Linked DNA regions of Oreochromis niloticus. The protein of the gene in region 1 interacts with the protein of each later gene in a pairwise test. Links are inferred from orthologs where the notes say so. Each region holds a gene or a part of one and is shown in the gene's direction. Other genes may lie near its edges. The genes, in order: epn2 and wbp2.

What was found.
Region 2: the proteins of epn2 (region 1) and wbp2 interact in binary tests that used the Homo sapiens proteins (3 or more experiments, as listed by UniProt). The link is inferred for Oreochromis niloticus from reciprocal best matches to the Homo sapiens genes EPN2 and WBP2.

The regions. Positions count from the first base shown.
Region 1 is NC_031969.2:13,198,372-13,210,417, reverse strand, and holds the start of epn2 (epsin-2), read left to right. Parts: upstream 1-6,195; 5' UTR 6,196-6,251; intron 6,252-6,690; exon of another isoform or gene 6,691-6,728; intron 6,729-8,843; exon of another isoform or gene 8,844-9,077; intron 9,078-12,046. UniProt on the Homo sapiens protein: Plays a role in the formation of clathrin-coated invaginations and endocytosis.
Region 2 is NC_031973.2:25,101,384-25,113,421, reverse strand, and holds the start of wbp2 (WW domain-binding protein 2), read left to right. Parts: upstream 1-6,970; 5' UTR 6,971-7,155; coding exon 7,156-7,214; intron 7,215-8,288; coding exon 8,289-8,397; intron 8,398-8,581; coding exon 8,582-8,717; intron 8,718-8,801; coding exon 8,802-8,894; intron 8,895-8,981; coding exon 8,982-9,128; intron 9,129-9,212; coding exon 9,213-9,335; intron 9,336-10,169; coding exon 10,170-10,246; intron 10,247-11,867; coding exon 11,868-11,915; 3' UTR 11,916-12,038. Other genes in the region: unc13d (protein unc-13 homolog D), read right to left, coding at 134-193, 287-394, 483-539, 653-706, 2,697-2,723, 3,587-3,646. UniProt on the Homo sapiens protein: Acts as a transcriptional coactivator of estrogen and progesterone receptors (ESR1 and PGR) upon hormone activation. In presence of estrogen, binds to ESR1-responsive promoters. Synergizes with YAP1 to enhance PGR activity.

The DNA.
Region 1 (12,046 bases):
ATTATGAAGTCCTCCTTCTGATGATTTGGATAACCCTTCAAATAGAGCATTACAGTAGTCTAACCTGCTTAATATGAATGTTCTAACTTTTAGTTTTTTTATGGTAGAAAGCAGTCCTGGTGACCTTATTGGTATGATTATCAGTTATCAATTGAGACCACTGTCCACGAGAGTTCTGAGATTCCTGCCTTGCTCTAGACCAGGGGTGTCGAACTCCAGGCCTCGAGGGCCGGTGTCCTGCAGGTTTTAGATCTCACCCTGGGTCAACACACCTGAATCAAATGATTAGTTCATTAACAGGCCTCTAGAGAACTTCATGACATGTTGAGGAGGTCATTAAGCCATTTAAATCATCTGTGTTGGATCAAGGACACATCTATAACATTCTACAAGCAGCCAATCAAACTCCCTCCCAAATGAGCCTCCACACTTCATGATCTGTAGATATTGTCTGGATGGACTTAGAAAGAAGAAGAGACAGAGAGTAAAACATAGAAGAGGAAATGCAAAGTAAAAATACAAACTGCTCTAACTACAATGAGATAAAACAACAGGGAAGTTGTAGCTGTTTCTTTAGCGTGACCTGTCCAGGAAATCCCCGGTCAGCTGCGTCACTTGACTGTGCCACCAGAAGGAGGAGTGCGGGATGTGAAGGCTAGATGTGAGGTGATGGAAGAATAGAAGAGGAAGAGAAAGAGAGGAAGTGGAACTGGCCGGCTGCTCTAAGGCCGAAGCAACAGCCTTGTTCTTAAGTCTTTTCCTTCCTGTGTGTGATGATGTCTTGTGGACTTGAAATGCTGGAAGTGAATTAAAAAACTTAAGGATCGATATAGTCTACAGCCAGACATTTTTTTTCCTATATTTTCATGTGTGGTACACGCCGCTGTGTTTCTGTGTACAGCTCTCTGGCCTCACTCATCACATAAACGTTGTGGGTGATCCTATTTTTTATTTTTTTTTGCATTTTTTTTTTCTGTTGGTTGAGTTTGTGCGTCCGTAGGTGGTTCTCTTCTTTGTCTCAGGCACTGTGCTGTTCACTGCTCTTTTCTTTTGTTTAGGCCCCTCAGCTGACACAATGACATCACTTCCTGTGTCCTTTTCCAGGAAAGCGTCGGATGTTTTAAACACCAAGTTAAAACTTACATAAACATCAGCTGCCCGTACACAATGATGTGTTTTCTGTTAACAGTGATGAATCCTTCATTCAGTGTGACTGATAGGCCATTTTTAACAGCCTTGCAGTACACTGTGTGTGTGTTACCCACAACACAGGCAGCACCTAGTATGCAAACCCAATGCTTTTCTGCTTGGGTGACATTTTCATCATTTTCATTTTCATCAACATTTTCATCCTGCCGGGGGCAGTAATGCAGGGGGGCTTGAAATGGGTGAACAGGTTTGCGTGTTTGAGTTAGCTGGCGGAAGTCAGTGTGCAATGGCGGAAAAAGCAGGTGGGCACAAAATCGCTCAACTTCCCCTGAAACAAATAAACAATGCCTCTCAGGATCTGTGCATTCTCAGGCCACATTTGTCTACAGCTCGTTCCTACCCTCAATTTTCTTTTGCACCTATATGCTTGTAATCCCCCACCACCGCCACCTCCCCCACCCACCCACCTCCAATAGCTGTCATTATATTGTACTGCATTGTCCCCACGATGCTTTTTAATCTATGTTCCTCTCTTAGCCCCCACCCCCACTCCCATTCTCTCACTTGCTTTTTTGCTCTACCTTGCTTCCTCTCTCACGCACTTACTGAACAACATGTGGCAGGAAGGGCATCTGAGCTCACCAAAAAAAAAAAAAAAAAGTTTTGTGAAGCCAATTAGAGAACTACCTCCTTCATTTGCTGCCCAGGATCAACATTACTCTACACTTTCTGTCACACATTTAATCTATGAGATGTTTTAATATAACAAAAAGAAGTGTAATTTCAGCAGCGGCTCTCCGTTTTTACATAAGGTGAAGAAATGCTGCTGTAGTTAAATCTGTGAGGATGACTCTTTGGGATTAAACTGTAAGAAATAAATATGTAAAATTACAGAAAAAGCTCATGCCATTCCCCAATATGGCATGTGAATATATATATATATATATAAAAGTTTTTGTTCATTTAGAAGAAAATGATCTTTTTTAACCTAGAAGTTTCTTTATTAGATAGTGAAAAAAAACAGGCACTTTTCTGTCATTTAATTGTTTAATTATCACTTAAATATGTTGGGGAGGTGTTCATCATCAGAACAAAGCTGCAAAACCTGTGAAAATACAGTGAAAAGTTCAAAATGTACACCCTCCTTCACATTTTCCGAAGCAGCCCAACAGGCCAGCTTTGACTATGCCTGGTTGTTCTGGCCCTCTGGCCTTATCTTTGACCCCTCTGTCTTAAAGGGTACATGTAACTAAAGTGGTTAGGTGTGTAAGAGTGAAAACATGATTCACCTCTGTCTGCAGGAGTGGTTTCACAAGGATATGTCTGTAGAAATGTGTGAACAGGTGGGTGAAAAGGTGCATTTTTCAGCCACACTGGTCAAGAAAATGTCAAACTGGTAAGAGGTCATGTATGGATTTGTATCTCTGCAACTGAGGAAGGCTGACTATATGGATTAAAAAGTTGCCTTTATAATGAAGGTTTTTTTGTTTTTTTTTACTAAAAAGAAAATAAGTCCGCTCTCACAGTAGAGGAGTTGATCAGGTGGGTTCTTTATGCTAAAAATGTGTAAATAACAACTGCTGGGGCTGTTTTTCTTCCACTTACCTTCCTTCTCCAGGTATAATCTACAAGAGCTCCTCACAAGCACTCGACCATTTGCATATGAAAAGATTTAGCTAATAAGCTGGCAGGAGTGGCAAAAATTATACACTATCCTGTTTCATGCTTTCTGCCCCCCCTTTCTGCCGATTTAGGCTCCGTCTGGAACCAAGTGCGCCACTTCAGGCCAAAAACTGACTCCTGCCAGTCTTTCCTCCTTTTCCTCCACGTTACATAAGTTTTGCAGGCTTCTCAAAGTGATGCACCAGTTATATTCATGCTTGAGCTTCCTTAGGTGAACCTTGTGTGTTTGCACATCCTGCTGAATAAAATTCAAATTAATATGACTCACATGCACCGCTTGCCTTTGTAACTGAGATTTACCGCATTGGGTGGCTGAATTTCTGGTGTGGGATAAACGCCGCTCGGTTATATAATACTGGTGTGAGATATGGTAAGCTGCTAACAACAAATGATCATCATGAGCTTCACCTGACTGACGTCTGTTGTTCATGTGTCACGCATGGTGGCATCTAGACTCAACGAATCATGTGTTAGTGACTGCAATACTCATTCTGCATGAGCAAAACTATGCTGGGTCAGTGCATCTGACCATGGATGGTGCAAGACAAGCTAATGGCCCAGAGAGTCTCTAATAGGGCATGAGTGTTGAGAATGAGGGTGATTATTTTGTGGAGGGTGATTTTGTGGGGGGTCACATATGGTAATTACATATTAAAGGTCACACATGTCTGCAGGGGGTTCTAGACAGCCCTCCCAAGTTTAGTGTGTGCTCACATTACAGACACGCTCTCTGTTTTAAAAGTGGGACGCTCCTGACCTCTACTGGCTGACACTGGACCTGCATGTACTTTAAAAGGGCACATACTCAACACATAGCCACTTCACTTTTTTGTTTGCACAGACTGACCAATCAGAATTTAGTTTAACTTTCAAAGTTTGGCTGATAAGAGGAGATAGTAAATGCCAAGGTGACATTTTCTTGTTGTTTGTTTGCAAAATAACTGCTTGAGGTAGCTTTCTCACCCAACCATGAATGTCACCTTCAAGCTTCTCTTTGATACCTGTTGCAGAAGAACAAAGGATTTGCCACAGTTGCCACAATTACATCTATTTTGCACAAAGCTGTTGCATCTTTGTGTTGGATTATGGAGAAATACAGCCATGGTTAAAATAAAATAAAGTACATCCTCTTTCAATTATGAGGTTTTAAAATAATATGATCTTAAACTTCAGTAAAAACAACCTCAGATAAACAACAACAAATGACATATTACACCGTGTCATTATTTATTTAACCAAAACTGAGCCAAAATGCAGAGGCAGTGTGCAAAAAACATGAACCCTTACTACATCTATAGGAATTCAGAGAGTAGCAGCCAGATGCTGCTAATCAAGTGCACTCCATTAACTGATCATCAGCAAGTGTGATCACGTCTATAACAAGCAGAAGTTTTGGCAGTTTGCTGGTCTGGTGCGCTCAGGTCTGTGTGTGGCCATCAGTCCTGAGAACAAAAGGCATCAGCTATGAGCTTGTTACTGCCCGCCAATCTGAGAAGAGTTAAGGCCATTTCCAAACAATTTGAAAGTCCATTCTACAGTAGCTGGGGTCGCCAGTCTGTGGCAGGGCTAACAAATCGAGACAGACAATCTTTCGCACTCACTTTCTGATCTATGGTTTGTTTAGAATCAGCAATTAACCTTACTCCATGTGTGAAGATGAACTATTTGGAGAGAACATTAAAGTCGGCACAAGAAGGTTTCAGACTAGAATTGAAGCCAGGACCTCCTAGTGAGGCGACAGTGCAAACCACCACGCCTCCGCGCTCCCCTCAAAGACAGCATAACAACACAAATGCCGCGTATCACCTGTCAGGGGTCATGATTTGGGCTCATTGTGCAGTTGCAGGACCTTGCAGTCATTAACTTGACCATGAACTCCTTGGTATACCAAAGTATTCCCAAGGACAACAGTAAACTGAAAATTGAAAACCTAAAACTGATCAATATGCTACAGTGGGACATTAAGAGAGCTGTGTATACACAAAAACCAACAACCTTCAATGAACTGTAGCAACATTGTAAAGAAGAGTGGACCAAAAGTCCTCCACAACAATGTGAATGACTGATAAAGTCACAAGGAAAACCATTTCTTCAAGTTATTGCTGCTAAAGGTGGTTCTACAAGCTACTGAATCATAGTAGCTTCTGCATTTTGGCTTAGTTTAGTTTATGACACAGTATAATATGTCATGAGGTTGTACTTTATGGATTTAAGACCTGATGAGGATTAGATCATGTATATTTTAGTAACACAAAGATATCATGTCCTCCTTTTGCCATGTACCAAACCTTCTTTGGTACACAATCCTCTTGTTAGCAGGCTCGCATCAGGAGGGGCTTTGCTTTATATAGTGGATGTTGGCAGTCTAGTAAGATGAATCATCAACTTGAAATACTCCTCTAAAAACACCAATATAGGTCTTCTTCTTAAAGGTCTTGAGTTAGTAAGTAGTGTGTAGTACAATTTGTTTTTCTCGCACTCTGACTTGCTCTGTTCTGTTCAGGCAATAGCTTTAGAGCAGGCCAATTACACAATTTAAAAAACCTGTTTGCACAAAGAGTCTATTCTCTTTTTATCACTCTCTCAAGCAGAGAGCAGCGAGTGCCAAAAACATCTCAATCAGCTTGGCTTGGGCTTCATTTAATTGGCTTATCCTTTCCACTGAATATGCAGCAGCAGGACACAAAAGCATCAGTGAACTTTAAAGGTGGCACTCCCAGCCAGATTTAGCACTTTACTAGAAAGCAGAGCTGGGTGGATCGATTCAAACATCGACAGTATCGATACCAATGCTGGTATCTGTATCGGATCGATACTAGCGTGATAGGATCAATACTTTGTTTCTATCCCCAAAGTTAACTATCTATCTGACTGAACTGTCTTATATTTAAGAACTGAAAAATAATCTCAAAGATGTACTATGAAAAAATGTCTTAAACTGTGTTGACTGTCACGTCTATTTTATTTATAGCCTAAAGCACATTTAATAACCGAAGTTCACACAAAGTGCTTTAGAGAGGTGCATTTACATTCTAGGTCCCCAAAAAACCCAGTGACAAAAAGCTAAAAGATTTTTTTGAGAAAAGTAAAAGAAAAAACTCACAGTAATTTGGTGTTCGTTAAAATGTGTTCAGAATTTGCAAATTGATGATGATTTTAAATGTCATGACACATGACACTCCCCTACATAAGCTGTCCTTATAAGTCAGGGCTCTAGAGTGCGACCAATTTTTCAGTGTTGCGAATAAAAAAAATATTTTCGGGTAACAAAAAAAAAAAAAAAACTCTGCAACTCTCCGTGTGGTCAACAACAGACACACATTATGCCCCTATCGTGGACTAAACCAATCAGAGATAGTCAGGGGCGGGACCTCTCTGATTGGCCGTGGTCCAGTTGAAAGTGCAGTTGGAAGAGAGAGGTGAGTAGCTTGAATAAAGCGATATCAATTCATTAACGGATTCCACACAAAGACATAAACACAGAGCGGACCCGACGCATCAGAATCAGCTTTGTCTTTCTCGGCTTTCTCACCCCACGGCCCGAACACGGACACGCTGTCGGAGCTTAGCGATTCTGATGCGTCGGTCCGCGCTGTGTTTCCGTCTTTTTTGCGCTAGATTCTGAGCTGCAGGTTTTGGCTACGTCCACACGTACATGGGTATTTTTGAAAACGGAGATTTTCCGTTTTCGTTTTAAAAAAATAATCCCGTCCACACGTAAACGCAGAAATGAAGGAAAACGCTGCTAGGAACATGCCAAAGCAACAGGTGGCGATATATTCCTAACCGTGTAGAAATGTTGGCCAATCAGAAGTCTAGAAGCCTCGGTAGGAAATAGTAAACAAAGATGGGGGATAGAAGCACAACCGAGTCCTATGTGTGGAGGGACAGTAACTGTGTGTGTATATGTAAGCATTTAAACACTGCAGAGAGTAAAATTAACAGTAACAGTATTGTAGAAATTCATTTCACCGAAACAATAACGTGGCGCACAGTGTGACGTCAAAAAAGGCGCACACCTTTGACGCTGCGTTTTCTCCGTTTTCCTTGTCCACACGTAAATGCAAAAACAGAGTTTTCGAAAATATCCACCCTGGCAGGCGTTTTTAAAAATCTCCGTTTTCAGTCACCGAAAAAGCCGTTTACGTGTGGACGAAAGGTGCAAACGCATAGAAAAATCTGCGTTTTCAAAAAGTTTTCTGCATTATTTATTCGCTAAAAGATTTTTTTTTTTTACCCACCAGTCTACCGTTGTTTACAGCGCTGTCGGCCGCTGTCTTTTTCTTTTCTTTTTCTTTTTTTCACTTAAATGACCTCGGACAAGAAAGCCTAATTTCTGCTGTTCAATACTGAAGAAATTTAAACTTCTTAAAATTATGTAAAATTGCAGAATATTTTTAAGGTTATCTGCTATAAAACGCCAGACCAGGAAAATCTCCTTCATGTTTTTCTGTGTTTTATTCTCAGTTACTTTGACACAAAGGCATCTGCTGTGATGTTCACAATTCTGATGAAGTCTCACATGTATCAGTACTGATAAATTATCAGAATTATAATATTTCTGACTGTCTGAGGCTAAATTGAATCGAATCAGGACTTTGAGAACCGGAATCGAATGGATTATAGAAATCAGTGATGATTCCCAGCCCTAGTGAGCAGCCTAGGCCTGACAGAAGTGGATGTAGCTGTGGGTAATAAGAAAAGATGAAAAGAACTATTGATAACTTTTGTGTTAAGTTAAGGACTGATCCATCTGAAATTCATAGCCAGCTCTGACACGGTGCCATCAATCTTTGAATGCTGAAAAAACAGCAGTGTATCCAGAAAACACATTATACGCTGCAATAAATGCACTGCCCAAGTGTCCCCTCTCCCCACTGCCTTGCAGCAGCAGGCAGCAGCAAACAGGTGTCAGAGGAGCCAAGATGATGATTAAGTTTAACATTTTCTACAATATTGACAAAGCAATTTAAGCACAAGTTTGTCAGTTAATAATTTAGAAATGAATATTGTCTGTATGGACTTCCCCCCCAAAGAAAGTGCACGTGTAAAACTGCGGTGTTAAGCGATGTGGTTGAAAAATTTGAGTGCGCCTAACTTTTGTGCCAGTACGCCTAAATTTTTAAAGTTAGGCGTACTGGTGCGCCCATGTCAAAAAGTTAGTCTAGAGCCCTGCTTATAAGTTGAAAATACCGATAATGGTATCGGGAATGCTGGCCCTGTATTTATTTGTTATCGATCATAACAAAATTTGCAGTATGGCACAGCACTAAAAACAGCCAACTGACATCACATCGGTCATACTGACGTTTGGCTGCTGTCAGCGTTGCAGATTCGTGACATTTTGATCCCTGTCTATTTTTAACTTGCACGCTTTGCATCTACAACCTATACACTTCTATTAATAGCTCACTGCGCACTTTTTAGTAAGGCATCTGCGCCTATTCATAGATGTTGTGCCACGTGTGTCTGGGGCGTGTGACGTGTTGTCCCCCTCCCTCTATTTAAATACCTGTGAAAGAAAATGCGGTTGCGTAGTGACGGTGGGGTGGAAAAAATTAGAGCGATGGAATGCGGTCCTACAAAGTTTGCGCTTTGTAATGACACACCTGCAGTGACAAATCATGACATGCACGTACTTGTGCAATCTACATGTCCGTTTATTTCCTTTTGGCTGCTAACTTTCTTTGACGAAATTGGAAAATGGCTCTTCAAAACTAGATTTACCAGAGAGGACTGTTCGGTTACTAAAACAAAAAAGCTATTCCATAAAAAAAACAAAGTAGTCCAGCACTTTAATATAACCATTCTTGTGGTCACGCATGTCTGCATGTTGTAAATCGTTCATGTGAAAACTTGAAAATTATAATTATCACTTTACAGTCACTTGCTCAGCGACGCACCTTTCCCCCCCGTGGGTTTTCACGAGGGATGAAGGGTCTGTCTCTATCCCTACCAAGTCAAGCCGACATGGTCACACCCTTCCCGGCCAACCCCTACAGCCCACCTCCTGCTCTGCCCGCCATGTTCTGTAGGAGGAGGAGATACGTGTAGTCCTGGCTTTAGCTGGCTTAGCACTAGCAGCATATAGCTAGGCGGAGGCGCAACAAGCTCCTTGAACGCCCAAATAAGTACTCCTGTCTCGGTTTCCCCCTTCTCTTTTTGGAATTAGCTACGTTTGTTTATTGGTTTGACCTCCACTTGGAGTGACACGAGTACCTAAAGTATCCCTCTCAAAAATTCTGGTAAGTTACCTTTGGTTTTCAACACAGTCGCGTTGTTTTGTTTTTCTGGGGTGTCCTGTAATCCAGTTTGCTATGGTGATGTCTCCACTGAGCTCCCGTCTTGGCTGCTAGCTTGAAGGATCGCTAACTAGCTTTACATGCTAGTTGACTGTCCTAACATAGAAAGTACTTTATGAGGCTAACGCGAACGATTGTGCGTTACAGTATAGGATTGGTCGTAAAACCGGTAAATAGTAAACTGTGTTACATCTAGATGGTGAGCGATCAACAGTTGTGTTGTTAGTAGGGTGCTGGAGGGGATGGTGTGTGAACTGGCTGTCCTAACACAAGCTCTGCTAGCTTTGATTCAACTTTTCCCAAAGCCAGGATTTGAAATCGTCTTGTAAATTGGACGCTAGGCGGTGGTTGGTATCTCGGGTGCAAATATCTATAAGTGGAAAAAGTGATCGCTGCAGTGTATTTTTACGCTACAGCAAACTTTTCCGGGTTATGTACTTTTCCAGTGAGCTGAAATGTGTAGTCACCGCTAACTCAATCAATGCTAAGAACTAGAACTTGCCGCAAGTTTGCACTCAACTAGCTGTAGTTAGCGGCAAACCCCTTAGTAGCAAGTGTGGTCGCTATTCTGTGTTAGAGTAAGCTTGCACTGTTTTATACACATACTTATTTCACCTCTATCACCTGGATTTTTGACTGAAAGGATTATAAATAACATTAAGGTAGTTTACTAGCACCAAACGAATGTTAGCTAAAGCTACTTTAGCTTATGTGCTAACTATCAATCACGTCAGTTCAAGGAGACGCCGTGATTTAAAAAAAGAAAAGAAAAAAAGGAGCCAATTAAATTATTTTTATTTTCTCTACCGAAACACGTGTGCTGTTATAGAGGCGAGGGCTAGACAAGAGCATACTACAGTGACTCAGCAGTCCAAAACTTAACGTACTTATTGATATTTTTATCAAAAAAATATCGTTACGACGTGGGCGCTGTCTGTTTACTCTCTTCGTTTCCGACAAGCAGCGAGTAAAGTGTTTGGTTTTTAGATCATTAATACTGGCAGGGTTTTCTTTTCTATTTTCAACATACAACAAAGATGTTTGAGTAAAACCTCTCTTTTCATAGTTGCACTGAACCCGTATTTATGTGGCCTGAGAAGAGGGGCAGCGCTTCCTTTAATGTCAGGATGGTCAGTCAGTTACGGGGGTGACAGATGCATCATCACGGTCCTCCTCCCGTCCCTGTCTTGGCTGGCTTTGTCTCTCTCGGCTAGCAAGAGAGGACAAAAGGTGGGGTGATGCGTCGATCAGATGGTGGTCTCTCCTCCCGTCTCACTGTCTCACAGTGCACGGTTGTAATAGCTCACTTAAACCCACTTTAGTACTGTTTGAACAAGTGTTAGTGCTTATTTGACGCGAGTTTGGCTTTTGGGAGCTTAATCCTTGGGTCTAGGAGAAGATGAGGATTAATTACTTGTGAATGTTGCTCCTGGTTGTACCAGACTGTAAAGGGGTGGTTAAGGAACTGGCTGGATGCCATTACACAGCCTATTATACACCATGTCATTCTGAACAGACAAATATAGTCTTGTCACATTCACACACAGGCGCCCGGTTGTGCAAGCCTACTATCTCGAGATCAGCTTTACTCATTCTGTGTGACAAGGTGGACCTGTTCTCAATGCGCTGCTTCTGAGCCCTTAATGCTAATCACAGTTTACCTAGCTTTTGCCAAAACACACACAAGATAAGTTGAACTTGTTATGATCTAAGGTGACTCACTTAAGTCAAGTGTTCTACGTTTTTCTTTGGAATATATTCATTCATATATTTTTTTAGGACATGAAAAACCCATTCCAAACCTTCACCAGGCAATATGAACAGGTTTGGCTGAAAAACATGAATCATTCTTTGATCTAATGATTGGGGTGATTCTGTAAAACAAGGGTTGATTTGGAAAACTTTTTAGCCTGTTGCAGTTAAATCCTGTACATGTGGTTTGAGAAGATACCTTGGTGGGTTCTCTCTTGATGCACAATGACATTCAGATTCTGTGAAATCAGGTGATGTGAATAGAGCTGAAAAATTAAGTTTGAATCAAGCGGGACTGCCCTGTAGATTGTGGATTCTTCTTCAGGTGAAAGTGAGAATCAGAAATGAAGGACAAGTGTATTGATGCTGTTTGAGGGCTACAGTGCCTTTTTGCTTCTGTGTCACTTTTATGTAGAGAAGGGGGGGGGACGCTTGGAGAAAAGTGAGTGAAAATGTAGGACTTAATGGTAAGTTAGGAAATTATATTTCTGTAACTTGATTCCAACTGTCAGCTATACACATCTATATCCTATTGCCGGTCAGGAGTGAATCATTATGGGTTTCCTCATGCAAGCAACATGAGGCAGAACTTCTCATTGCGTTTGATATGAACCGTAATGAAGAGGACATCATTATTGTTCCCTTATTTGGTTATTTCCTTGTCCGGGGTAGATTTCTCTCTAGAAGCTTGTTGAAAGCTAGAACTCTAACCTCAGGAACAGATTGGGCTTGGGTCTGTAATGTTGTATCTCCTCTGTGATTTTGTTCTGTCCTCCTCTGCTTCATCCTGCACCGGGAGTAATTTGTGTGCACACAGTGTAGGATGATTTTAAAAATTGCCCGATTGCTCTATGCCGTAACCATGACTGACTTCCTGCCTGCCTCGTCCACCGCCCATTGTTTAACTTCCATCGTCTCGCTACATTAGTGGACCAAAGAACTGCTCCTGAAATGTGCTGTGGTGCGTCTAGTGGAATTGCCTTGAGTTGCTGTGACATGTGGCATGAGTGGCTGTGGCTGTGATATGGGCACCCCAGTGGGAATTGAAGGGTAGTGTTTGGCCATTACTCATCGTCTGCCTAAACGGGGGAGGAAGGAGCTTCAGAGACGCACCCACTCTGGGTTGCAATCTTTCCGTTGAGAGCGGGCACACTGGTGCA
Region 2 (12,038 bases), on another chromosome or scaffold:
AACATACTGATGATGTAATTTCTGCCACAGTAAAGGTGGTGGAAAATAGAATTCTTATGACTACTATTAATAGATGTTGGTGGTCTTCAGCATTGCATTTATTGGAACAAGTATGCAGACTTCCTTTTCTCACCTCTGTGCTCTGTACTTTCTCCAGCAGACTGTCGTGCTCTGATTCTGTCATAGTGAAAGCCTGGTAGATAGGATGGATTGAACAATCATCTAGCTGCACACCAACGCAGTTGGAAAGTTATGAGTGCTGTTATACACGCGTTTACGTTTTTACCTCTCGGATGTACCGTCGAAGCTGGTCATCTGTGAAAACCTCATTTGAAGACGGTTTACCCATTTTGTGTGCGATGGTGTACAGTAGCTCCTTATACAGAGGCTTGAGCTTTTAACAGACATAATCACATTGAGAACGTTGTTGGAAAATGCCATTTTATATGCTGAACATAGTCATATACTGGAAGTGATTATACCTCCATCTCCTTGTGTCTCCTTGCTTTCTCTTCTGGATTTTCATCTTCTTTAAAATCCTAAAGGAGACACAGGAAAACTATGTTTCCATGATTCTGTTTGATAAATATGGAAATCATGCATAATTTTAACCTAAAATTTAGGCATTTAAAACACATGCAGGGTGACTTACCCTCCCTCTCAATTTCCTTGTCAACCCCAGTTTACGTGCATGCACAGGTGAAAACTGGAAAGGGAAGAAAGAAGGGAAAACGTCAAAAAGCAGACATGAAAGGAACATTTTAAAACTATATCAGTGATATGTGATTACAATGGATCACAGTGAGTTTCAAGTTTGTGAACGTATATTAACTACGTTCTAAAATGTCATCATTTCTGTACAGTGAAAAATATAGATTCAACTTGAAGGACTTGCCATGAAATTATGCACACATATAAAATTCATTCATTATCCTCATAAGATGCAACTTACTCTATATTACTTTAGAATCAACATATCAAAGCTTCCAAATTTCAATTTTTTAGCCACATGTAGATATCTTAGTTCTTAGTAACCTAGGTAGATACATTTGTATCTACATAACTAGTTACCACAAAAATTCGGCATATTTTGCCATTCATTGTTCTTATAGGACGTGTTCTGGTTTGTCTGTAACTTGATTTTTCCTTTAGCAATACCTCCAGGTTGAATTCTGAAACACAGTTCTCAACACCTGTTGGAAAGATTTAGGTTAAATTTTATACAGACATTTGTTGTGTACAGAGGATGACACCGATTGTGCCACCACAGTGTCAAAGCTTTAACCTATTTAGTAAAATAATCCAACATCTATTTCACAGACTTATACAATATTATCCATGTTTTGACGTCCATTGTTCAAAGAGGATATGTCCTAGTAACTTTGGGGAATCCCTGTTCATGAGGGGACTTTCCTGTACCAAAGCCAGTGAGCTGTTTATGAACAAACATATCAATAACTGATAACAAGACCTCCTGGCTTTAACATATTCAGTAAAATAATCCAATATCTACTTGTCACACTGGCAGCTCTTTGAGTACATTCCCTATAAAAATTCCTGAAATTTTGTACATTTTGACATTGTCCATATAGAACGTTTGCTAATGACTTTGAGGACTTTTGAAGGGGCTGTTTTGACAAAGACTGGAAGGATTGAAATGGAATTCTGCACAGATGTTCATGCTCCTCAAAAGATGAATTTTACAGATTTATTCTCTAGTGTCACCATAACGTAATTTAGCAAATTCTCCCAATATCTACAGGACAAACTTGCACAAGATCTGCAGATGTTAAGTGAAAAATGCATATTCTTCACGTTGCCTGCACGGGTTCTCTCTGGGTACTCTAGCTTCCTCCACCAGTCCAGACATATGTGAGTTAGTTTCCCTTTGCCAAATCTAGTTTGTAAGCCTGCAATAAACTGGCAACCTGTCCCTGACTTTTCCTTGTTGGAGTTGGGATATGCTCCAACTCCTCCCGCATTGGATAAGCAGAAGGAAATGGATGGATGAATATTCTTAAAGGATTTATCGTAATGATTCTTGGGGGATATCTGACTCTTTCTCAACCAGTGCAACCAAGCTGATCTGTAATGAAATTTCTTGACCGCTATTGGAGGGATTAACTTAGAATTTTGCACAACAGTTTTTGTCACAAGAGGAAGAAATCTCCTCTAGTAAAATAACTTGGGTACATTTTGTACCAAGTATAGCATGATGACTTTAGTAATGGGATTATTTTTCCTCTTGGAACAACAGGAGCAGCTAAGGTTCGAGAAAGCGAGAGAGACATCTCAATAGCAGCTCAACGAGTGATTGTTCTTTTTGCCGATCAATAAATCTTACATCACATGACTTCTAAAAACAGTGATCACGTATAACAGAAAGGTAAATTGTGTAGTTGCAGTCTATACTTAATGTAGTCTAAGCACTTTCAGAAAGGAACTACATAAATGTCAGTCCATTCCATTATTTAGCCTTGAGTGGTAATTAGCAATGAACCTGCTAACCATTACACATCTAACTATCTATAAATATGACAATGTGAACATGCTGAGAACAGTGATACAGAGTCATTAGGCTCTGGTCTTTCAGTTTGGCTGGTTTGGTTTAGCTAAATTTACCCCCCAACACACACACACACACACACACACACACACACACACTGGTTTAGTTCATTACGGTTTGTGTGTTTTACCTGTTTGAGTCTTGGTAAGCCATGGTCCTGGAAAAAACAAGGGAAAGGTGCTTATGTTGGACATTTAAATGGACGGAAAGAAAGCAACTACTTCAGTTGAATCAAACTGAAACTAACAGGAATTTAAATGTGATCTCAAGTCACTGCAGCCTTCGCTACAAGTTCTTCCTGTGCAAAAAATACATCAATGCTGGTCTGAAGAAATGCGAGTGCTTCTTTAAAGTTTCTGATAAGGCCTGCCTATGCAAGAGACTTCCTCTGTCGCTGATAATGAAACTGACTTGGAAGCAAAAGCAAACCAACAATCCAGGAAATTCACTTGAAAGGGAATCATTATAAACATAGTCTAAAAATAATTATGCAAATACACATGTACCCATCCTCAACAAACGCACACGCACACCAGTACAGCATTTTCACTATGTACGAATGTAGCAAACCCTTCAAAAGTAAATGATTGCAAAACAGTGTGAAGAAATAGCGTCTTTTGTGAAAAATATGTTTCATTCTTCATGATCTGATGTTTTTTTCCCCCGAAAATAATAATGAATCATAGTCACAGCATCTCGAAATAGCCATTTGGAGACAGTGACTCAACTTCAGATGCAACAGCACTGTTGTAGCTGCCATTTTATGTTTTTTTTCTTTTAATTTTCATATAATTAGCCTAAAATGCAAAAAAGCTTTGCTAGTATAACAAGCTACTGAAAACCAAACCCGAGGAAAATCTTTTAAACCCAGAGCAGAAATATTTGAAGGGATCATCAGTTTGCTTGTTACCCGATCACCGTGTAACATAAGTAGTTAATAACTCACGGAGAATCAAATTTAAATAAATATTGTGGAGTCTACAGTCGTGCCAACATATTGAAATGCACTGTAGTCCTTACCTGTTCAGGTGTTTGCAGTAGATTGTCTCCTTTGTTCGTGGGCTCACTTTGACTTGACATATTGATGCGAATCTAAGATCATCAGACTCCTGCCTCGTGAGCTGCTGAGTCTAGTGTGCGTGATATAGGGAAGCTGAGTGCTTTGGTGTGTTTCGATGAACTGTCACACAGCAGCCGGAAGTCATCACTTCCTGTAGAAGGTGGTAACGTCAATGACTGTGACTGATGACTTTTTCTTCATCTAGTGCCCCACATTTTGTTTGAATACAAAATACTGGTCTCACTCCCTGTTACCTTTGCATATACAAACATCAACACACATACAGCGTTTTACATTTCGGGACATTATGCTTTGTTATAAATCAAGCTTTAAAGGTTACATTCACTGATGACATATAAAATTGTATGTCCTGGGAGCAAATTTTCCATAACTTGACACATGATGAATTAAATAATGAAACTGCGTGTAACATGAGACAGTGCAGCCTGTCTGTGGAGTGTGGTTAGTTTTACCTGTGTTTATTTAGAATGTTGACTTACTCCATTATATTACTCCACTATGAGTTAATATACGCTGCCCAAAATTTTTTACAGCTGACTAAACCTGTGATATTATTCTCTTGTTTTGCTTCTTGCTAGTGTCCTTGTCACTACTTGTAGCGTAAGACTGTATCTGCAGGCTATTTTGGTTGCACAGGTAATCTAGTTTCTCCAGGAGGGCACATTTAATGCAGTCTGAAGAATGTTGAGGAGGTACCAGAAAATTAAATAGGGAGAGCTGGACACTGTCTGGCCTACATATTTCTGATCACCTCTCTGCATCGAATCATATCTGTTATTAATCTCTGTCTCTCTTCCACAGCATGTCTTTATCCTGTTTTCCTTCTCTCACCCCAACCGGTCGCAGCAGATGGCCCCGCCCCTCCCTGAGCCTGGTTCTGCCGGAGGTTTCTTCCTGTTAAAAGGGAGTTTTTCCTTCCCACTGTCGCCAAAGTGCTTGCTCATAGGGGGTCATATGATTGTTGGGTTTTTCTCTGTATGTATTATTGTGCGATCTACTGTACAATATAAAGCGCCTTGAGGCGACTTCTGTTGTGATTTGGCACTATATAAATAAAATTGAATTGAATTGAATCAGACTCCATGAGTATGGGGCAAGGTCCTGACATCATTTAGTGGGCTCTGTGGTCACAGGCTAGCATTTACAGCTCTAATAGGATTTGCCTAAGAAATACAGAGTGGTGCCTGTCCAGACATGTCTATATAGCACACAATGCTAGACTGGCTAATGAGCTATTGTGGTGTTTTTTTTAATTGAGAGAAGTTCAGGAGACACTATTTGCAGTATTTTATTATCAGGCAGTTAAAGATTTGGCTTGCATAGCTGTGGACCTCTATTGGGGCACTCTGCACATGGAGAAGTGAAGCACAATTCCTAATTCAAAGTATATACTTAGAATTAGGAATAGCCAATCACAATTTTTGTGACTGGCTATTGATGGGTAAATGCCATGGTTTAGACTCAACATACCCTGATTTGTTCTTCTCGTGGTCCTTCTGGATGGCAACGGTCATTGACCTCCACTCAGGGATCTTGTCCTGTCACAATAAAGTCTCCATGTCTTGTCGACTAGAACCCCCTGTTATCAGACACCCAAAGCCAAGCAGCCCATCCTGTCTGAAACTGTGTTGTGTAAAGGTGAAGCAATTTATTTTCAACACTCAACTCTTTCCATGCCTCTTAGTTAACCCTTCACACCTTGGGGTTAGTAAAGCTTGTATACTTCTAATGAAGAGTGTATCAACTCTATTATGAGCATACAATTGCAACTAATGTTAAAAAGAAACCTTATTTGTAACACTATCAATCACAAAGACATCACATTCTATACAAAACCATATCTCAGTCTTTACTTTAAGGTACCCTTTCTTAAACTGTTTCAGTAATTGCTTTCACTGTATTACATATACTCTATTTTCAGCTGGCTACATCGTTTTTAAATTAGCTAGATTAAAAAGGCTAGTTTAGCTTATAGCTAATTAGCTACATTTTGCATTCTACACACTGGTTAAGGTGACAGTATATCAAGTTTTACAGTGCATCTGATGACTTTTTTCAATGAAATCTCAAAATCTTTGGTTTATAAAATGTTCAATCAAATAAAATTAATAAGGCATTTTGATTTTATTAGACTAATAATATGCAAACAATATATAAATTTATTAGCATGTGTGCAGCAAAAAACACAGCTAATGAATATTTGGGAATTTTAATTGAAAGTTACTTGAAGTAAAAAATTAGTTATGTTAATGTTGAGGTGGTTGAGTTCTTATAATTGTAAAGAATTCTTAATCAATCATTTTAGATTAAATTTCAAGCATCAGCCAGGTGTTTCCACACAGCTTCATGTGTAGGCATTGAGATTTTACCTGTATGGTAGCACTGAAGTTATATGAGCTTAGATCCAGGTATGAGATGTTCCATGATCGCATCCTAGAGCTTCATATGATAGCAGTAAACTTTGACAGTAAGGGTAGTTACATCACCTCCAGTGTATTAGCACATTGGAGTGAAAAGTGACATTTAACCCATCTGTTCTATTTAACAGCTTTGCGTAATCTATTATCTGTTCTTTGTTTTCCTGGCTCATATAATAGGTTTGTGCATGGAATTTAGAGAACGATACAAAGAGAGGGTCAGACATAGATGTCAACTATTGTTAGCCAACACACACCATGGATTTGCCACTTGTTGCATCTTTTACAAGGATGTGGGTGCTTCTGACTAACCTGACCACTCACCTTTTCCTGACTCATTCTGTTACATAATGTAAGAGGCATTTCAATACTTGGATATATAAATCATCTTGCCATATTTGTACTACAAATAGAATTTTGGACTTACTTCTGTTTGTCAATGCCTTTGACTCACTTGAAATAAATTATCTGTCCCTTAAACAGGTAAGGCTGGCCCTGCCCTGAAGGTACTAATAGCAATTAAGTAAGAATACATTTCTATTTAGGATAATAGGTACATCAGCCAGACTCATCATGTAAAGAAATCTTTCTTTCTTTTTTAATTAACGAATTAATGAATTATCATTATTATTATTATTTTTTTTACATCTAACTGTACTACTAACTATAGAGGCGTAGACACATTAAAAGTCTTACGTATATTATGATTTTCTGGCATTATTACTATTATTAGAAGCTATATTGCAATTGGTAGAACCTTGTAGAACTTTCTCCTGTTATATCAGCTCGTGTCGCTCATTCAAACGTCATTCAGTCATAGACATTTGATAGTAAATTTATTAAAGAAATATTTAATATCGAACTGAATGTTTTGAAAAGCCGACTTTTTAAAGGGGCGTGACGTCACGCCGTGGGCGTTTCACACGTATGGCGGAAGGGCAGGTGCGGTAACCTCAGCAGGCTCTGTATCACAACAACCGTTATCCGCGCGGAGGGAAGACACCGAGGATCCAGAGAGGCCTTTGGATACGTTTTCCTGACTGAATAAAACAGTATCTCATTTTTTGCATACAATCTGGAGGGCCGTCGACATGACTCTGAACCAGAATCACTCGGAGTCCGGTGGTGTCATCATCAACAACAGTGAAAGGTAACGTTAGTTAGCAGCTGTTAGCTAGGCGTTACAGTTAACCAGCCACAGATAAGTTATACCCGCTCTTTGGGACGAGCGTCACACCAGACTCATTCAAAAATAATGTGGCTCTGACGTTTCATGGAGATAGTTTACATATCAGCTGCACTGCAAATACAACATTATTATTCGGTTAATACACACAGACACACCTGCCACACAGTAAACGCTGCACTGAAATTCTAACTTTTAGCATTTGGTAGCTTATTTTTTTTAAACAAACATATGTATAAAAGCCTTTGCCGAACACCGTGAAATAATCGTTTTGCTTTCATTTTTGACTACAGTATCTTTTTTTTTTACAAAGAGCCTTTTATATCATATAGTCCGAATTGAAGAGCTGCTCCTAATCAATGCAAGGCGATACAAAATAAACCTCTGAGTGCTTCACGACTAGCATGGCTATATTAATTATTTCAACGTCATATTTTCTAATCTAATATTCGCGTCGCATCTTACAGAACCCGGTCTCGGACTCTTAGCCGAAATATGGCCCTTCAGCCTGTTATATCATCACCGCAGACTAGGATTACATAAATGTTTAGTGGTTTTTAAATGTTATAATAAGTCTAATTTATCGAGGATAAAACGTTATTTCTCCTCATTGCAGGAATAGCTGAGCATATATTGCAGTGCAATAGCTGCATAGCCTTCAGTCTGCACTCTGGCCTGGCCTCTGTGCTAAAATATTTGTTTTGTTTATTAGCACGAGTCAAAATAATGGCCAGATTTTTCTAGAACATGCTGCAGTGTAATGATAAACCCATTAGAGCTAACCCGGAACCTGTAGTAAGCTCTGTCACTAGATGGCATGTTAATCCTCTGCCTATACTACTTTGTACTAAAGGCAATGGACAGTTGCACAATAACCCAGTGATCTAATTTTAAGCTTTTAAGATGAAAGTAGGTCACATGCTCATACAAACATTGCTGATTTTTTTTTGATGCACACAAAAAATGTTGAAAAGTTCACAAAATTCTGGTTCCTACAATCAGCTGGTTCTAGTGTCTCCTTTCTGTTTTTGGATCTAGTGTGCTGATGAATCATGACAATGTGGAGCTTGTTTTTTGTGACACGGAAAGGCTGCCCGAAGCCTTCAGAAAGAGCAAGAAGGGCAGCATCTACCTGACTCCATACAGGGTGAGTGACAACACCACCAAGTCTTCCTCTTTGTTTAGACGAAGCCTTGTGCTGCCATAATGATGCCACAATTCGCATCAAGTACTAGCAGAGCAGAAGAGCAGAACTCTATCATTCTAATTACTAAGCTTTAAGATTAGTTTGGGAGAAGCTGAGATGATGCTGTTTCTTCTTTTAATCCCAGGTGATCTTCCTGGCTAAAGGGCGGGATGCACTGCAGTCTTTTATGATGCCTTTCTACCTGATGAAGGGCTGTGAGATCAAACAGCCTGTCCTGGGAGCCAATTACATCAAGGGCACAGTCAATGCAGAGCCTGGAGGTAGGTGTACCTTTTCCTCGTTATGCTGTAATAGATCATGCAGCATCTTGTGTCTCTAAGCCCTCTCTTGAATATCTCTTGGAGGTGGCTGGGAGGGCAGTGCTACTTTCAAGCTCATCTTTGCTGCTGGAGGAGCCATAGAGTTTGGCCAGTACATGTTGCAGGTTGCAGCTCAGGGTATGTTAACAAAGCAGAACACATGAAATACTACAGTTCCTGATATTTTATGGACTTATTAATCGATTTACTGCCTCACATTTTCAGCATCCAGAGGTCAGCCTGTAACCGCTGGCTTTGGTGGATGCCCCTACATGGCTAATGGGGCCTACGCTTACCCACCTCCCCCTGCTAATGGAATGTACCCAGCAGGACCTCCGCCCGGCTACTCCTACCCTAACCCTCCTCCTCCAGGTAGTTTTCAGAATTGTCCTCAGCTTAGCTCCACATCTCGTGAAAGTGAAAACTAAACTGCAACTCTCTGTTCTCGGACTCCAGATGGATTCTACGCCACTCCTCCAGCGTTTGATGCCTCTGCAGCATACATACCTCCACCTCCTTATTCTGCTCCTCTGGGTCAGCAGCCACCACATGATCCAGACCTCCCCTCCTCAGCAGCAGGTGAAAATCTCCAGTAGAGAAGCTCTGACTTCAGCTACAGCCTAAATAAAAACACCATGCTAACAGAAAAAAGGGAGGCTGAATTTCTGCACGTGTTCGTTAGTCTATTTTATACTTTACCATTTCTATATCATGTTGGAACAGATCTGCTTACACAGGTCTTGTTAGAAAAGAATAGAATACCTTTGTCATTTCATAAATGTGCAAACATTATACAGACCCAGTATAATGTTAATGAAATGTCTTTTGTTACATTTTTGCTTTTCCTGCCACACCAAGTCAAATATCTGCTGTGGAAAACATTTTTGTCTTTAGGATATTTTTTTTAGTGGTATATAGATTGTTTTTAAAAATATCCTCCTTTATTGAATTATTACAGGTAAACTTTAAATTGAAAACTAAGAAAAGTAATTTGTTTTGAAAGTGTGGATAGTTTTTTTCCCCTCAAGATATTTGAAGCGATGCATACAGTACATTATTGGAAGTACTTAGTGTTGCAGTGGGAACTGCAACATGTTGCCTGCTTTCTAACAATGAATGCACTGCACTGATATCACATGAGCTTAATTCAGCCTCACAGAGACTTTGTACTAAGGAATTTAAGGTTAAAGATAAGCTAATGTCAGATCTCCAAAATATTTAAAACACTTCCCGCTGGAAAAATGCTATCTGCAAGTCAGGGAGATTCTAAACTGCCGTTCTTTTCTCTCTCAAATGCACCGACCATCGTACCTGCAGCTCGTTTAGCACCTCTCATCTCATATGTCCCAGGGGTTATTAGTAAGACCCATGTTTAATTAATGACCCCCTCCTTTGTCTCACTCGCTTTCCCAGCGGAGGCCAAAGCCGCTGAAGCAGCAGCGAGTGCCAGCTGTGCCACGCTGCCCCCTACACATGTGTACCTGCCGCAGGTGAGCTGCCCTTCATGTTTCTGCTATACAAGTTTTTTTTTTAAATGACAGTGTAAATCTTGTCAATGATTTTCTTACAGTGGCTGTGAGACAGTCTGTTTGAATTTCCATTTCTCATTGAATTGAGCTGTGTTTCCTTTCCATTTGTCATCTGTTTGTTTGTAGTCATTGCTAGTATTGCTGTACTAACAGTGACTGCAGATCCAAAATAAACTCATTTGGTGTGTAATTTGAAAAGTGAGGGCCTTTTTGCATACAGAGGAGAGTATTTTAGCACAGTGTATTTGCATGATATTTAAACGTATTGGTAAATTTAAGCTGGGGCATCGAGTCAGATTAATTTTCCAAGTGTAGAAAAAAAATCATGGTGAGAGTATTGTCTGCATCTCACTTATATCACTGTTTTTTTTTTTTTCATAGAGCCACACTAGCATTTTTTTGTTTTTGGGTTGGAAATTTGTGATTTCCTTTACAACCATTTCTAAGGTTTACAGAGAAAGAAGCAAAAAAGAGAAAAGGTCCAGTGAGCAGTTCTGTGGGTGAAAATGTCTTGTTTTGGGATGTGGTGGAATGTGAGATTCATATCATTAATGTGCAGACAGCAGATCTCCAGCAACTGTGTGATGCTACAGTCCTGATCAAAGTTTAAGACGCTTAAAAAATCATATTTTGCATGATTGGATCTTAACAAGGTTCCAAGTAGAGCTTCAACATGCAACAAGAAGGGCATCTACTGTCTGGACAACAGCTTCAGACAGGAGATGCCCTCCGTGCAGCCGTCTTCACCACTTTGGAGAAATGTGTAATTTGTTTCAGTGCTACGGTTAATGTAAAACACTGAAATGTAGCGATGTAGTTGACAGATATCAGCCTATTGGCAGTTAAAATGGCATTTAATGATGAATAACCAATATGTTATCACATCAATTTTTTTTCAGTGTGAAAGAAATCAGGTCAGATATTTTGCATAGGTAACATTTCGTGTTGTCCCCTGACACAAAAACAGAGCAATGAATGACAACAAATCCATAATAACAGCAAAATAATCAGCACAGGCATTGGCCATCAGCCATTAACATCAGAAACATCCCTACCTGCATCAGTCTGCAGAAGGTCAGCCAGTGTTTATTTATTTTCTCTCTACTTTGCTGTGACACAGTCACTGATGCTAGCAGCTATGCAGTAACAGCATCGGTGGATGACATGGTTAAGGTGTTACAGCAAGTGAAAGTCACTGATAAAACCACATTTTATGGGGTTAAAAGCCAGTTGTTTACCACAGCTTCAGTCTGTGTATGTCAGTAATCCAAGACCACTGTGTGTTCCTACTCTCCTGCTTACATGGCACCAACTTTCACATGCTCAAAACATCGTCATCTGGCATTGTTTTATTATACTCAATTGTATATAGCATTTGTATTCTATTTTATTCGATTGCATATAGTATTTTATTTTATTTTATTCTATTGTGTACAGTATCTTATTGATATCTTATACCAGTGTTTTTCTCTAATTTTTTTATGCAACTTTGCACTGTCCACTGCTGTAACAAAACAAATTTCCCATGCGTGGGACTAATAAAGTTTGTCTTATCTTATCTTATCTTATCTTATCTTTCCAGGACAAGCCTCCTCCCTACTCTCCTCCAGAAGACAAGAAGAACCAGTAGACCTGCTTAATGTCTCCCTCATTCCTCCTTGTCCTCTGTCCTCCATCCCGCTGGATCTCATTATTTCTCTTACATTAACCGGACAGTAGGAGGGCCAGTATGTTCTTTTTTCCCCCCAAGTTT